Linked DNA regions of Neurospora crassa OR74A. The protein of the gene in region 1 interacts with the protein of each later gene in a pairwise test. Links are inferred from orthologs where the notes say so. Each region holds a gene or a part of one and is shown on either strand. Other genes may lie near its edges.

Region 1 (4,046 bases):
GACGAATCGAACCCCAAGACGTACGTCTCCCCTTTATTTTGGACAACAGCATGAAGTGTAGCGACACATCAAACGGACCGCTCACCTATTGTACATCCGCTCTCACCACCCACATCCTTCAAACCCCAAACATCTCCTCTCAAGCTTTCTGCTTCTCTTTCGCCTCCTCCTCCTTGAACCTCGCAACCAACCTCTCCATCAAAAACGGACTTAGTCCCAAGCTGTAACCAATCCCAACAGTTAGCAACCACGTCAACCCACCTCACCTCACCTCACCAAAGTAAAAATACTCACATGCCCTGATTCGTAACAACCCGATAAGTCCCACTCCCCTGGAACGTCCCCTCGATCATCTTTCCCTGCCCATCCACCTCCACGCTCCCAAAGATATCCTCGGGCCACGCAATCCTTCCGAAATCCACTGGCGTCCTCTCATCACTCAAGTGCACCCATCCTCCCCTGCCCGCGCCTCCCGCGCCTCCCTCCGCTGACGCCCCGCCGGCGCCCGTGTCGCTGCCCTTTTTGCCTACCTTTCTCGAGCCAGGACGAGGAAGGAAGGAGAAACCGGCTGGGGAAGCAAAGGCTTGGGCTTGTGATTGAAGACCGGGGTCGGAGTAGGCGTGTTCGGCGAGGACGGAGTTGAGGATGGAAAGAAAGTGGGGGTTGGTGGTGAAGGACTGGGGAGTTGGGGGTAGGGCGGTGGTGGTGCCGATGGAGAGGGTGGGTGGGGGAGGGGTCGTGGGGAGGAGGGAGAGGATGTAGCTTTTTGGGTCGTTTGGGTGGGGAAAGACTTTCTGTGGTGATGGGTGTTAGTATGGTGTTTGAGTTGTTGTGTGGTGATGTGGTGAGGATGGGGGTTGTGGTGTAAGTGCGGGTGGGGTTGTTGGTGGAGAGGTGGATGGATGACTTGCAATGTTTGGGTTGGACGGCAAGGTCGTGAATGACCTGACTGCGCTTCGTAGCGTAGGAACTACACGAAATCTTGTAGTAAGCATCATGACTGGCTGTATTGAATCTGATATCGAGAATGAAAAGGTTGGTGATGGCGTCAAAAGTTAGTTGATGTCACTCTGGTGCTGTTCGTGCGTCTACTTGTAGCGTAGGTACCTGCTGTAGGTACCTCTCTAGCGCTGCCGGCGGCAACCAGGGTAGGTGGCCCTTGATGCCCCTGTTTCTGACATTGTGGAGCCCGTATTGGCTGAAATCTGGGGTGAGCCCCACTAGAACGCGTCTGGTCCCCTGCTTCGTTTCTCAATTTACGCGTCTTCCAGACAGTGACAATGACGGATATCACCACCACGAACAGACTGGTAGACGGCCAATTGTAACCGACTATACTAAATTGCAAGTTTAGTCGAGCTATCCAGACCACAGACACAATGATCGTTCAAAGTCCCCGCCAAAAGCGGACGAAAACCGGCCAGACAAACGCCCAAGACAGACCATCTCGACCGCAGCCACAAGCAGCAGCCGCCGCCGGCTTCTTTGCGCCCAAGACCCCAGCGGGCCCATCCAACCCGATACCCTCGTCCTCGCCCGCCTTCGCTACTCCAGTACATCCACTGAAGCCGTTCCAACCCCCAGTCCTCACAAAAGCCGCAATCCTGCCCATCATCCTTCCGCCGGCGACACTACGACCGCTCGCCTTCCGAACGTTTACCAAGAAACACAGCCTAACACTTACATCAACTGCCCTACAAGAGCTCGCAACCTTTATCGGTAGACACTGTGGCTCAGGATGGAGGGAAGAAGGCCTGGCCGAAAAGGTGCTAGAAGAGGTAGCAAGGAGTTGGAAGAACCGCAATGGCGGCGTCATCGTGGAAGGCAACAGCCCCGAGCTCAAGGACATTCTCAAGACCCTCGAGGGAAACATGAGCGGAGGAAAGATCCTGACCGGGCCACGAAGCTTGAGCAGACAAAACAGTCTCTTGCTAGAGCCCGACCAAGACGAACAACATGCGCATAGTCGACTCGGACTTCGGCCCGTGCCATCATTAACCCGGGAGGACAGCAACGCCAGCTTTGGCATGTCTGGGTTGGAGTTCACAGAAGAGCCGGAAGACGATTCGGTGAGAGATGTTAGGAGGTGGCTGAAGGTTATACATGCTTTCGATCAACCACGGTTGATGTATAATGTTGGAAAGAAGCATTTTGAGAGGTATGGTCCCTTATTATTTATTACCCTCTTTACATAGGTTACACAGCTAACCTTTGTAGGGATCCTTCCAAACCCTCCCTACTACCAGCCGCCTCTCACAAAACCGATGCCTTCCGCAACCGCTACAACGTTATTCATCAGCGCATCCTTCGCAACGAAGCCTTTCAATCCTCCTCCGTCCAAGGCTCCAGCTTGCGCCAACGAACCAACGCCAACGGCCTCTCCTCCCACAAGATTACCCCAATCGCCAACCTGCTCGGCCGCCATGGCAGCAACCACATGCTGCTGGGCATGCTTGTTGTCCTTCCCACTGGCTCTCTTGCCATCAGCGACCTGACGGGCACCATTACTCTCGACCTCTCTCACGCTGTCGCCATCCCTGAAGATTCTGCCTGGTTTACGCCGGGAATGATTGTTCTCATCGACGGCGTCTACGAAGAGGAGGAGGAAACCATGACCATGGGCAACGGTCTCAGTGGTAGCAGCGGTGTGGGCGGTACCATCGGCGGCCGGTTCCAAGGTTTCTTCATCGGCCAGCCACCATGCGAAAAGCGCCGCGTTACGCTCGGGGTTAGTGGGCCCGACGGCACCGGCGCTGATCATACCATTGGCGGCGGATTCGGCTGGATCGACTTCCTGGGCGTAGGTAGCGAGAGGGCAGTCGGGTCCAAAATGCGCAAGTTGGAGCACAGAATTCTTCGGCAACCAGCGCTGTTGGAGGATGGCAGGCCGTCGAGGGGTAGGGCAGTGATTATTGGCGAACTAAACCTAGATCAGCCGAGGAGTTTGCAGGCACTGAGAAAAATCTTGGGTCTCTATGCTAGTGATCCTGAAGGGTGTACACCCATGACGTTTGTGCTGGCGGGTAACTTCACGCAGCATGCTGTCATGGCGAGGGGCGGGAGTGGGGGGAGTATTGAGTACAAGGAGTTTTTCGATGCGTTGGCATCGACACTGGCGGATTTCCCTAGTCTGCTCACGACGGCTACCTTTGTTTTTGTGCCAGGTGACAACGACGGGTGGGTGTCTGCCTTCTCAGGTGGTGCGGCAACTCCTTTGCCGAGGAAACCCGTCCCAGATCTGTTTACTTCCCGCATCAGGAGGGTATTCGCAGCAGCGAATGCTGAAGCCGGGCTAGCCAACCCTGGCAAAGAAACAGAAAAGGATGCAGGCAAGAGGAGAGGCGGCGAAGCTGTCTGGACAACCAACCCAAGTAGGATAACCCTTTTCGGGCCTAGTCACGAAATGGTTCTTTTCCGAGATGACATCTCCGCCCGGTTACGACGAGCTTCTGTCCGTCTTAAGAACACGAGCAAAGCCTCCGTCGAGCCGGAACCCCCAACCAATGGTAACGACGACTCGGCAATGGATAACCAATGTCCACCCTCCTCCCTCCCCGACGCCCCCGATGCTGACGACGAAGACATGGCCGACACAACCATGACCGACGCCATGGATGTCGATTCTGCCCCTGCCCCTAACCAAAAGACTACCATGCCTCCTCCATCTTCCATACCCTACGACGTCCTCGCCGCCCGCAAGCTAGTGAAAACCATTCTCGACCAAGGCTATCTCGCTCCTTTCCGGCAAGCTATCCGCCCGGTACATTGGGACTATACTTCCGCCATGTACCTCTACCCGCTGCCGACGGCCATGGTACTGGTGGATACTACCGCTCCGCCGTTTTGCGTGACGTATGAGGGGTGCCACGTGATGAATCCGGGGAGCATATTAGTGCCGGGGAGGAAGGGGGCGGCACGGTGGGTTGAGTATGAGTTACCGGGAGTGGGAGGGACGGGGACGGGTGGAGGGAGGGTTAGGGAGTGTACATTCTGAGTTTTGCACATTTCGAGTGAAATGTTTGATTGTCTGGAGAAAAATCTGCCTT
Region 2 (3,533 bases), on another chromosome or scaffold:
TCGTAGAAGGTCCGTCCTCGGCTGGAGGCGATTCGAGGAGTACAGGCCGGTGGTGAGAAGCAAAATTCTATGGAGCAATCTTGTCGACAGCAACATACAAGAAGCACCGACCGCGCCATGCTGCATCCGGCCGGAACTCTTTGGCCCCGCCTGCAAAGACTTCGTCGGGCGGGATATCTGATGACTAGTATGTACATAAGCTTCGACGGTTCGGGGTTTCCATGTTGTCCCGTCGTGCGTCGTAGCGTCTATCGTACCTAGCGCCGGAGGAAGACTGAACAAGAACTGATATGGTCTCAATTGATCAGTTGAAAGCCAATGATACTACCTAGCAGTTGCTGGATGGCCTGGACCTGTTGTTTTAGCTGGCCATGGTGGGGTTGAGGCCGTGGAAGGGAAAGGCGTCATCTGCATGATGTAATCCTTGTTCCACCAAGCAGCCTTCCCAGTGCGAATTGGTTTCTCTTTTTTGAAATTGAACACTGCACCCCAGTAACTATCATTCAGCTCCACGTGTGACAGACTGACAGCGAGCACACGGCAATAACGGTCAAAAGTTTACATAACCCTATGACTGTTCTTATCGCCTTCTTCAGATGGGCCCTATTAGCTGTAGTTTGACAAATCAAGGACTAGTCAGTACCTCTTCTCTTTACTCGGGTTGATTCTCAGTATCTGCCATCAACGAAACAATATACTGAAAAAAGGATGTTATCAGCCGCCACAAACACAGTGTTGCCATGCCAGAAAACTTGGCCACTGGTTGGTGAAAAAATTTGAAGGGCCTTGTGAAACCCCTTGCTGGCTGTCACTCCAGCCTCGACGTTCGGCCGTCGTCCACCGCGGCAATTCCGTGTGGGTTCCTGAATCAATGGTCTGGCCGTCAAAGTAACCTTTCCCTCATCCTTCCCGCAACTTACAAACTGTGCTACCGTCTGGTTGTGGGCTCATGGTCCCTTGTCGATGCAAGCACTTCTCAAACCTTCATCAATGGTCCAGCCATTGAGAAAAAGTAGATGGTAACTCCTTGCCCCACAGAGACTCAAAATATTTGGTTGAAGTCACCTTTGGCCGTCGTCGTAGTACAAGGACTGGTCAGCTCTGTGTGTGCGGCGCAACCCTTTTGAGTCGGTCCTTTGCGCTCCCTCCAACATCTAGCTGCTGATCAATGACCATTGCATATGGCTTCTGGTCGAAGCCATTGAGTCCGTCACTCCCTCTCCGGTACTGTTCGGAAGGCGCCACGCCGTCAATGGTCAGGAAAGAGCGAGGGGTCTGTCAACCTGTCGGCAACCGCTGCCGATAGCAGTTTTCCATTGCTGGTCTGCAGCAACAAGCTCCGGTCTCAAATCATCGATGCCAGGTCGATATTGTTCAACCCAGCTTTTGCAAATATCCCTGCACAATCAGACGCTCCACATCTCCTTGCCGGACATAGAATTGACTGTTCTTTGTCAGGTTGATCGCCCTTTAGACATGCGTTAGTTAGCGTGGAACCAAAGCCATCATCTATTCCTCCATCTGTAGCGTAGCTTACCCATATTCGGTTTGGATCTCGCCCGCATCCTTCAACACTCGGACGTCGATAAAAAGGTCTCGTGGGGGTTCGAGACTGCCTGTGAGATCGATATCCGTCCATTGGCCTTTGTAGAGGGCCAACAAATCTCCAAACTGTCGAAAATAATCCTCTTCCTGGGGACTAAGACTGCTGGTGGTCCCGCCCCCTTCATTGCCCTCCGTCACGCCCTTGGGCCCTCCTGTCGTCTGGCCGGCAAGGTCGAGGATATCGGCTCCATTCCACACCAGCTCCTCGAGCTTGTCTGTTCGGATTCGGTGATAGGCGAGCAGACAGCGCTTGTTCCTTCGCATTGAAAGGTGGTTGACCAGCAGCGTGCACGCGGTGGCCTGTTCGGCGGAAGGATCAAATGACCCCTGGAAAGGTTCAAGTAAACTGGCGACGTCTTTGTCAAGATCCCGGATTTCTCGGGCCACTGCACGGACAAGCTCGGTCTGATAAGGTGGAAGATGGCTCAAGTTCTGTGTCCTCTTGGCATGCTGGACCTGGTGATGGTGTGAGTGTTCGTATCCAGGGAGGATGCAGTGAGCTTGCACAAACCAGTTTGTTACCCAAGTCACCGTACATGGGCATGTTTTCGACGTGGCTTAAGTGCCTCTTTGGACAGTTCGAAGCTGAAAGGTGTGATAGTGGAATTGACTATGTGTCTATTTTCTGACGCGTCTCACGTCGCGTCGTTTTCTCGAACAGCCAGGCGGGTGAAGTTCGAGGTTCCGTCTGGATGTGAAACCGTTCTATGGCCACTAGCATATCAAGCGTTGTTAGGCAGATAGGCGCTACAAGATGGTCTAAGCACTGCACTTGAACGCGGGGTGGGCATCAAAAGTCCTCGGACAGCCCTAACCCGAAGCAGAATACGCAGTAGAGGTACGTGTATCCGAACATTTTCTTCGTCCCATTCCCTCTCAACCAGCTGCATACGGCGTGTCCCAAGGCATACGTGCAGTCAGGGCATTCACTAACGTCGGCGACAAGAATAGGGATATTCATAAAGCAAGACGTACAGAGGTAGTTGAAGGGTGATGCTTCTTCTCATGGGCAAAGGCCGCAGTACAGGCCACCGTACCTTTGAAACGAACGTCTCATTTCCTGAAGCCGATACCAGTTCAGAGATACATGTGAAGAATCGGAGTGCCTTCGCACATGGTGCACACATTCTACATGCCCCTACGTCCAAAAGTTACTAGCATTAAGCCCTTGAACAGTTAAGAAATATTCAATAAACTATTGCTAAGCAAACACGATATAATCTATCAACTGTTGAAACCAGCAACCTTCTCGGACCACCTTGATACTCCCACCCGCCCATAACGCACCGGACAATCGGTAATGGTGACGAGGAAAGACTACACTAGGCTCCGTAGGGTTGCCAAATTCCAACTTCAGATGGGCTGCTCCATTGGACAAGCACTCGGCATGCGCAAAGATACAACAACTACGATTCATGAGTTAGCTCAAGAGCTGCGAAAAAGAAGCAATATTCCAAGTTGAATGAGATGCCAAAAGGGTCAGAGTCGCATAAATGCTGGTTTCGTCGTCATCTGCAGAGGTCTTAAGTCTGCTTGGTAACACGGACCAATTCGATCATCACGGGATGGGCGTGGGAGTACCGGTAACGGAGGAGTAGGGAAGGAGAATATCAAACAAGGTGCTAGAACTTACACTAATGACAGACACCGACGCGGCGTACTTCTGGCATTGCCAGCTTTTAGCAATTTGGAGCCATTCTCTCTGATGTCTCCCACAATGGCGCTGTTCAAACGCGGCGGTTGCACACGAAGAACCAAAACGGGGAGAATTTCACACAGCGAAAAATTTCCTGGCCATTAAATACAGACAGTGCACAGACCAGGCACAGGAACCCACCGAACTGACCGAAGACTCCATCGTGAAGACGGGACCTACATGGAAGCTCCGATAAGATAAGGAGCTAAGTACTGCCCTGTATGTAGGTAGG

Evidence for each region. The genes of interacting proteins can lie anywhere in the genome.
Region 2: the proteins of NCU10155 (region 1) and NCU02631 interact in a two-hybrid assay, tested with the Saccharomyces cerevisiae proteins (4 studies listed by BioGRID). The link is inferred for Neurospora crassa OR74A from reciprocal best matches to the Saccharomyces cerevisiae genes DPB2 and PSF1.

The regions. Positions count from the first base shown.
Region 1 is NC_026505.1:1,592,464-1,596,509, forward strand, and holds the start of NCU10155 (DNA polymerase epsilon subunit B), read left to right. Parts: upstream 1-1,246; 5' UTR 1,247-1,379; coding exon 1,380-2,158; intron 2,159-2,217; coding exon 2,218-3,994; 3' UTR 3,995-4,046. Other genes in the region: NCU04588 (hypothetical protein), read right to left, coding at 140-221, 295-794, 912-998. UniProt on the Saccharomyces cerevisiae protein: As accessory component of the DNA polymerase epsilon complex participates in chromosomal DNA replication.
Region 2 is NC_026501.1:2,993,052-2,996,584, reverse strand, and holds NCU02631 (DNA replication complex GINS protein psf-1), read right to left. Parts: upstream 2,331-3,533; 5' UTR 2,150-2,330; coding exon 2,117-2,149; intron 2,062-2,116; coding exon 1,538-2,061; intron 1,469-1,537; coding exon 1,375-1,468; 3' UTR 501-1,374; downstream 1-500. UniProt on the Saccharomyces cerevisiae protein: Required for DNA replication. Functions as part of the GINS complex which plays an essential role in the initiation of DNA replication by binding to DNA replication origins and facilitating the assembly of the DNA replication machinery.